2 linked regions of the Caenorhabditis elegans genome follow. The protein of the gene in region 1 interacts with the protein of each later gene in a pairwise test. Each region holds a gene or a part of one and is shown in the gene's direction. Other genes may lie near its edges.

What was found. Proteins that work in one complex are often made in the same cells at the same time.
Region 2: the proteins of Y38H6C.8 (region 1) and sgt-1 interact in a two-hybrid assay, tested with the Caenorhabditis elegans proteins (2 studies listed by BioGRID).

What each region holds. Positions count from the first base shown.
Region 1 is NC_003283.11:20,511,618-20,516,502, forward strand, and holds Y38H6C.8 (C-type lectin domain-containing protein), read left to right. Parts: upstream 1-2,343; 5' UTR 2,344-3,148; coding exon 3,149-3,231; intron 3,232-3,281; coding exon 3,282-3,400; intron 3,401-3,755; coding exon 3,756-4,030; 3' UTR 4,031-4,115; downstream 4,116-4,885.
Region 2 is NC_003280.10:4,901,443-4,905,370, reverse strand, and holds sgt-1 (SGTA homodimerization domain-containing protein), read left to right. Parts: upstream 1-1,574; 5' UTR 1,575-1,577; coding exon 1,578-1,734; intron 1,735-1,787; coding exon 1,788-2,476; intron 2,477-2,607; coding exon 2,608-2,775; 3' UTR 2,776-3,083; downstream 3,084-3,928. Other genes in the region: btbd-10 (BTB domain-containing protein), read right to left, coding at 1-103, 162-312; R05F9.9 (MSP domain-containing protein), read left to right, coding at 3,272-3,346, 3,398-3,481, 3,565-3,738.

The sequences.
Region 1 (4,885 bases):
TAACATACTCCGCAATTTATTACATACCTGTGGCTTTGCTTCCATCGGGTTATCCAGGATTGTGACGCTTTGAAGTTTTGCAACTTCATTTCGCGGGTGTTGATTTCCAGTGCCATAGCCATCAAATCAGAATCATGCAAATTGACTCCTGAAATATTTATATTAAAACTTGTTATATTAATGTTCGTTACCATTATCAAGTTTCTCCTTGACCTCCTCATAAAGCCGTTGTGTAAGCTGTGCCAAACGAACCCGCACGCTTTCTTGGAACGCTTTTTTATCTTTCTCGTACTTGCGCAGTTTGTTCATATGAGCATCGGTTCGTATCCAGCGATAACTATGGTGCATAGTCGTTATCGGCCTACTTCCAATTTTTCCGCTACGGTAGAAGGTGATCGCTTTATCCAACTTTTCCCTTGATACAGCTTTCTCACCGAACAATACATCATCTTGATCCGGCAACACACAGTCATACGGCTGAAAGGTTTTTTAAATGACAATTAATAGTGTCGAAACCAACATACCTCAAAAACTTCTGGCTCCCAATCGCCATATTCTTCTTGAACCAAATATTCGGATTCTTCCACACTGGTATCTCCATAATAAGATTCCTTTATAATGCTTGCCAAATGATCTGCCACCTTCTGCTCATGTCTCGAAATCGAGGGATTTGATGGGAGGGGATTGGGAAAATGACGATGCAAGGCAAACATCACGTTTCCGATATCAAAAGACATTGAATAAAAGAAAACCAATAGAATGTAAACTATTAAAGGGACAATTTCAGTGAAATTTATCAAAATACGAAAATAATAAAATTAAAAATTAGCGCCAGCTAACTATTTAGCAGAGCAAATACGTTTTGACCCAATATAAAAACAATAATATGAAAAAAAAAAATTAAAATAAAGTTTTACCAAATCGATATTGGCAAAACATCTTGTTTTTGAGGCTCCATATCTCTGCAGGAAAAAATCGCACTAAAAAGTGATTAACTGAAAACTTGTTAAACACAATGTAATCTAAAACTTTTCAGTTGAACACTTTTTTGTAAAAAATTTCGTTGCCAAGATATAGATCTTTAACTATTTAGAATATTCAAAAATAATGAAGCTCAAATCAATTGGTTCCAACTCGGCAACGAAATTTTTTACAAAAAAGTGTTCAACTGAAATGTTTTAGATCACATTGTGTTTAACAAGTTTCTAGTTGATCACTTTTTAGTGCGATTTTTTCCTGCAGAGATATGGAGCCTCAAAAACAAGATGTTTTGCCAATATCGATTTGGTAAAACGTCTTGATAAGGCATCAGAATCAATGATTCGGTCATTGAAAATAATGAAAAATAGGTTATTTGTGACACTCTAAAATATTTCATGCATTTTTAAAAAAATTTCAAAAAAAAATTTTTCGATCAAATTTTCTCATGGGTTTGGTGGAGAAAAAAGTGACAATTTTCGAAAAAAATTAAAATTTCTGAAAAGTTTCCAGGGTAATTATGGTTCAATTAAAAAGCAAAAAAATTATGTAAAACCCTCAAAAAAATGTTCTAAATACTTGTTTCCCGTTCTGAAAATTTTGTATAAAAAAGGCCAAAAGTTAAACCATGTATGGGAACCGAACACACAAACTTCTGCTCAAGAGGCGAACGCGTTCACCACTCGACCACCGAACCGATGTTTTCGCCCTTCCACCATTGTGGTGAGACTTCTGTTGGCGCCAGAGACAAAAATCCACTGTTAACCATAGGAAATGCACTGATTTCAGTGTAGAATTTCAGACGTAAAAATTTCAGATTTCCAGCTCGAACGGGCAAAAATTTCAGTCATATTCTTATAGTAGAGAATGTCAGCTTTCCGATACAATATTTTTTTTTTGAATATCGCTCCATTTATTCTGGTCATTCCCTAGTAAGGTATTAGTACGTAAGCACTAAGTTTTATAAAAGTTTCTCATGGTTAGACGGCAGAAACTCTTAGGGCCTGTTAACACAGCCTACCTAAAGAACCTTATACTTTTGAGGACCAGGGACGGTCCTGAAAGAAAGGGGGGAGGTGTAAGAGTTTCCGCGTCTCCCCATGCTCGGTACAATTCCCCACATTTATTATTGTCTTACAGGTCCAGCAAGTGCTGCCGTAGCGGGTAACATCACGGTTATCCGGCCAGAACCGCTGCCAAAGACAACGACTAGACTTGCCAACGTTCATCAATGCACGCTGCAAGTGCGCTCCACCGGACGGCGCGCGGATCTGAATTGCCGGCGCCAACTCTAATTGTCATCGTTCTCGAATGTTCTCTCCCCCTCCCTTTTCCCCTATAAAAGGAGCGGTTTCGCTCATTCGAGGCCTTTTTCCTTTACTTTTAACCCGTTGTCACGTGTTCGCTGTTTGCCCCCAACAAACTGCTTTTCTGTAAATTACTTTATTAACTAATAAACCTGCTCATGACAAGCCATTCTTACTATATCTCCGCTCTTCTTCTCCTCTTACAAACCTGCACTACAGAGCTTGTCTTTTCTCGTGAGAGATAACTAAAAAATATATGATAATCTCTCGATGTCTTTCTTTATTATCACTAACCTGAAAACTACATTTGGAGGGAGCTCACATCTTTCGCCTCCTGTTTTCTTATTGTCTCTTTCATCGTGAAAACCACAGATATATCTGAAAACTTATCTCATAGTAATAAACTCTCATTTCCCTATACTATTTTTACGAAGCTTCGATGAGGACTACATTTGGAAGAGTGAACTCATCGTCTCGTCGAACCCCACACTATTTCCGATAGTGTTTTGATCTCTGGCACTATTAACTCTTGACATACAGAAAACTATCGTATTACCTGAATCTCTCCAATATTTCCAAAAATCTCACATTATCGTTTCTTGATTGATAATAAAAAGAGATGCTATGACAATCAAGAATAAATTAATTCAAAGAAGGGTGGTGGAATTTGAAATTTCAATGCCTCGAACAACCAGACTATCTTGTTCATGCACCAATTTGTTACAAAACTCATGAAATTATGAAATATGGATGATTAAAATTTTTGTGATAAGTAATCACTACGGGAAGAGGCGCGGTTTCTACAAACACATATAAATAGAAGCTGATAAGATGAGTTTCTCCGCTGAGGAAGGTTCAAAATTATGCTTCGCTTATTTATCATTGTCTGTCTAGTGTGCTCTGTCGCGCCGGACTGTGTTCCGGGAGATGTTGGATTTGGAGATTCGTAAGTGAAAAGAGTTTTGTGGGACAGAAAACTGAATTGGAGAGTTCCAGCTGCTACTCGTTCAACCGTGTTCATGGAAAGTTCAAGGATGCCAACGATTTGTGTGTAAAGATGTTTGGAGGGAGTCTGGTAAAAATCACGAATATTATCGATAACAATTGGATGCAAAGTGAGATTTGTAAATTAGACGGGAACTACATGGTCTAATGGCGGGTGAAGCTAGCTAGGAATGGTATAGACAGACATATTCTAGCTCCAGCAACTTAATCAAGATAGATTAACATCGCATGCAAAATCTATCATGAAGAAAATCGAAACATTTTAACTTCCAAGCGTAGAAAATGTAAAAATAGCTAGATATTTTCTTTGAACGAGCTTTGCTAACTGATTCTTACCGCTTTCTATCACTAATGCCATGTCCACAGTTAGCATCGAAATTTGACAGAAGTCTGACTATAGTTTGCCCGATCCTTGGCTACCAATGAGTACCTCCTTCTTCATAAAAATGTTTAACATTTTTCCAGAACTGGCGGTAAACCACCTCGACGCCGACTACAACTCTTTTTGGATCGGAGCCAGCGACGCTGCCCACTACACCAATTGGACTTGGATTGACGGGAGCCCAATGCGATTCTCCAATTGGGGACCAGGACAGCCACTTGAAGATCGGCACTGCGGAACTATGCTCATTTCGACTGGAAAGTGGTTTTCCCAAGTGTGCGATGAAAGGATCCAGTTTCTGTGCCAGTATCCCAATGGGGCATACTCTCCAACATGCCCTCCGTGCCTAGAGATTTGATGATTTAAGTTTTTTTTATTACAACAAAGTACCTCTCATGTTAATAAATTACCTCACATTGTTTAATGGAAACAACATTCGAAAAAAAAACATTTTAGATTGTTATTTGATTTGGTTTAAAGTTTTCAGATTTTACATTTTCTCTAAAGCGTAGGCACATGTTTAGAAATAAGATTACAACGTTGAACTAGGATAAGGCTTATGCTTGTGGGCTATGCTCAGGCCTCTCACCTTGTTTCACTTAAGGCAGGCATATGATTGAGCTAGGCTAGTGTAACGGCGTAAGCTCAAGTTTCATCTTTAGGCTTAGGCTTAGACCTAAATTTAATCTCAGCTTTCTACCTCAGTTTTCTTAAAAGTTCCAGGAACAAACTTGCCCTTCCGCTTTAGAAGTCTCTTTTCACGTGGTGCCAGGATGTCCCATTACGGTTTGATCTACAAAAAATGCGTGATTTTTTTCTCAAAAAATGTGACGTCAACACGTGCTTAACCATGCGAAATCAGTTGAAAAGCATGCGTCTCAACTCCCGCATTTTTGTGGATCTACGTAGATCAAACCGAAATGAGACACTCTGACACCACGTGTCTTTTCAATATGCCTGTATCATATTATAACAACAATGACAAATTTATTGTGTACTATCAACTATTATTACTGATCGTTGTTGTCATAAATGCTTCGGAACCGCTCCCTATCGAAAATTTCTCCGCAAAGCTCGCTGTGCTCGTGTGACGTCCAAAGTGTGATCACCAATACTTTTGTCTCATCTTCCATGTCGAACGCTTGGCGGTGTGAAACATAATGGTGTTGACTGAAATTGCAATTTCAATAAAATTGGCCTCTAGGTTAATATG
Region 2 (3,928 bases), on another chromosome or scaffold:
ACAGTTCTTGTTGATGACGTGCTGGCATGATCTTTGCGAGATCTCTCGCTCTTCAGACATCCACGACTTGAAGAGGAACCGTCAGTTTCAGCCCCGGTTTTGTCTGAAAAAAATAAATTATTGATTTTTATTCAATCTGAATGAAAAATTCGAATTCTTACCATCATTATCCAGTGAAACATCAGATTCGTCAGAAGTGTTATCGAAGAGTCGTCGCGCAGGAGCATCTGGCACATTAACGCCATTATTTGCTGGGTTTCCAAAATTTGAAGATGATGGAATGTCTTTGTTCTGTTCTTCCGATTGAGACATGTTGTAGAATGGTGGAAGACGAAGAAGATGATAAGAGTGACAGTTTAATTACTGAAAATGTGCGAAATTTTATATAGTTTTATTTATTTAGGAAACAGATAGTGAAAGTTTGGGAGGAGTTGAACAGTATAAAATAAGAATGACAGGCAGAATGGCTGGGTAAATATTATTCAAATACAAGTATTTTCAAAATTCCGCAAATTTGAACAAGTTTTCATTTAAAAAACACATTTCGAACGGAAAATTTGGGTAAAAGAAAGCTTGGAACATAGTGAAAAAGGACTTTGCGAACAAATAAATTAAAATTTGCTTGATTTCAATTTGTTTTTTTCATTTTTTACAGAAACAACAAATTTCACAGCAGCGTTCTCCTGACTATCACACTTTTTTTTTGAAACAAAAACGAATAAAACAAGCTTGAAATAAAACTTTTGGTACCCAGACGTCTCTGGCCCCAAAAAATTTAAGTTGACGGGTGTCGACAGAGGGAAATGAGTGGCTTTTGGAAGGAGACCTGGGGCCACCAGTCAGCTTCTCGCTTCTTTTTTTTTCTCTAGCACTCTCTCAACTTTACAATACACTCTACGCGCTGCTGCAACTTTTCTGTCAAGTTGTCTGCCGTCTCTTCAGTTGAACTTGGTTTACTTTCGTGGCGAGACACATCAAAGTGACGGCCGACATGTGCCTTTGAGGCTGATGAAATTATTCCCGCAATTTCCAGAAATTTTTGCACTGATTCTGAAATAAAATGACGTTGCAATCTTTAATTTTACTCTTCGTTGTTCAAAAACTTTTCAATTTTATTCTCGTTACAATATTTCACTCTTCATTGACCAAATTTCGCAAATAGAGCGCTTAAATTCAGATTTTAAGTTAAGCATTTAAAATTAATACTCTTTTTTTTTAATAATAATAATAATTTATTACGCTCGCTGGGAGACGTGAAGGAATATAGAATACAAAAGTTATCATTGTTCGCTCGAACTAGAATTGGTGCAGTCGGGCAATCGTTTCCATTCCATTAGAATGTTGTCCTTGTCCTTGCGTTGTCCTTGCGTAGACTCCCCCATAGTGGGCGAGCGATTCCCGAGTGAAAATAATCACGGAATGCCATTTTTAAGCGATGCCATTTTCTATTTCTTGAACTATATATTTTTAAGAATATTTTAATCTGCGCTTTATCATGGATTTTCAATTCAACTTTATATTACTTTTCTAACTTCAATATAAAATTATTTAATAAATATATTTTTATTTTTAAGAAAATGTCCGAGGAGATCAAGCCTTCTGCTCCAGATGCGCCGACTGCTTCGCCAATTGTGACCAGAGACGAGCAAAATTTGGTTGTCTCATTCCTTCAGTTTATCCGCCAGAAGGTTTCACAAAATCAGGCCACTGCCGAGCAAGCGGAAGCTCTTGAAGGTTTTTTCCTATTTATTTCTATAAATTTAGCTTAAGATATATTAAAATTTCAGTTGCAATTCAATGTCTCGAACACTCGTTTGGTCTTGATGATGCCTCATACGCTTTCCAACCATCACGCCCAATTCTCGAACTTTTCAAGAGCGCCGAAGGACTTCCAGAGGGAGAATCTGCTCTTCCAACACCGAGCGATAGTGATATTTCTCAAGCTAACAAGCTTAAAGAAGAAGGAAACGATTTAATGAAAGCCTCCCAATTTGAAGCTGCTGTTCAAAAGTACAATGCCGCCATCAAGCTCAACAGAGATCCAGTCTACTTCTGTAACCGCGCTGCTGCTTATTGCCGCCTGGAACAATATGATTTGGCCATCCAAGATTGTCGTACAGCTCTTGCCCTTGATCCATCTTACTCAAAAGCTTGGGGAAGAATGGGTCTTGCATATTCTTGCCAAAACAGATATGAGCATGCCGCTGAGGCATACAAGAAGGCTTTGGAGCTTGAACCAAATCAAGAGAGTTACAAGAATAATTTGAAAATTGCTGAAGACAAATTGAAGGAGCTGGAAAGCTCGCGACCGGCACCAGGTGCCAATCCATTGGCTGGGCTTTTGGGAGCCATGGGAGGAGGACCGGGAGGAATGCCGGCTATGCCAGGAATGCCAAACATGCAAAACCTTATGAACGAGCCAGGACTTATGCAAGCTGCTTCACAGATGATGAGCGATCCAGCACTTTCTGATATGGTAAGTATCAAATTTTCGGGAATAAAAGATTTAATTGAAATGGCAATGCACGTGGCCGTCAAAATTAATTGTTTTTCATTATTATTGCTTGTTTTTTGATGATGTATGCTCTAAAATATTGAATTTTTCAGTTCAACAACATGATGTCTGGAAATGGATCAATCGCTGATTTGATGGCTGCTGGCCAGCAAATGGCTGCTCGCATGCAAGAGACCAATCCAGAACTTATTGAAAATCTTCGACGCCAATTCGGCCCCGGAGCCGATGGAGGAGCACCACCACCAAACCCACCACAATAGATAATCTCTTCCGCCAATCTCCTTCCGCATCACGAATTTCCATTTCGTTATCTCTCTCTCTCTCTCTTTCCCCTTCTCTCGTCTTTACTTTCTGCTCTCATGTGATTTGAAAAAGCCGAAGTCGCTTATGGTTACTCGTTTTTTTTAGTTTCTCTCGCAGAATTTCCCCTTACAATGATGATGTTATAATCGCCCCCGATTCAAGCCTTATCGAAATATTGTTTTTAATTAGATGGTCATGTTTTAACTACCAACAAAAAATTGGGTCAATTTTCTTTTTTTTCACGAATAATAAATATTGTCGAAATATTCTTTCCATCACAGACACACTGGTTGCAAACGCGCTCCAACACGAAATTATCGATTTGCACCCAAACGAAAGATAGCGCGGGAGTACTCACATTTTCTTTATTTTTGATTTTTTTGTTGAAATATTTTAGTATTAAATTAAACAATTTAAATTGTAAAAAACCTCAAATTTGAAAATAAATTCAGAATGCAACGCCACGAAAGGATTCGATTTTTCATAACTGAACAATGTCGTAATCTGGATCCAACGTATAGAAATTATGTAGGAATTTAATTTTCTGTCAATCTAAATTCTTTTAAAAGTTATTTTCAGATGTACCCGAAACAAATTCTTCTCGGTGACGTTCCTCTACCACTTCTCCCTAATTCTTCACTGACGTTTCGAGTCAATTCAGCTGTAAGTAGAAAATTTATTGCGTGACGAGCATTATTGTGTTTTAAAAACTCTAAAAATGATCAAATAAATTTAATTTTTTTTAGGAAAAAATCTGCTTCCGTATTCGACTTTCGATTGATGACAGCCAGGAACCATTGAATATTGGAATTCCATTATCACAAGTTGAAAGTGTTTCAATTAAAGATCATAGTGCGAAACATCCAGAACCTGCTCTTCTTTTTTTACTTAAGAAAGGAGCTTTAGAGAGATTTATTCAGGTACACTATAATTTTTTCGATTTTCGCACGACAAATTTTTGTAAAATGAAAGAAGGTGTGCGCCTTTGAAAAGAGTACTGTAATTTCAAATTCTCGTTTATGCAGAATTTTTATCGATTTCCATAGATTTTCACTAACAACTTGTGTTTGAAAAAACACATGAACTCGTCAATTCACTGCAAAAAAATTC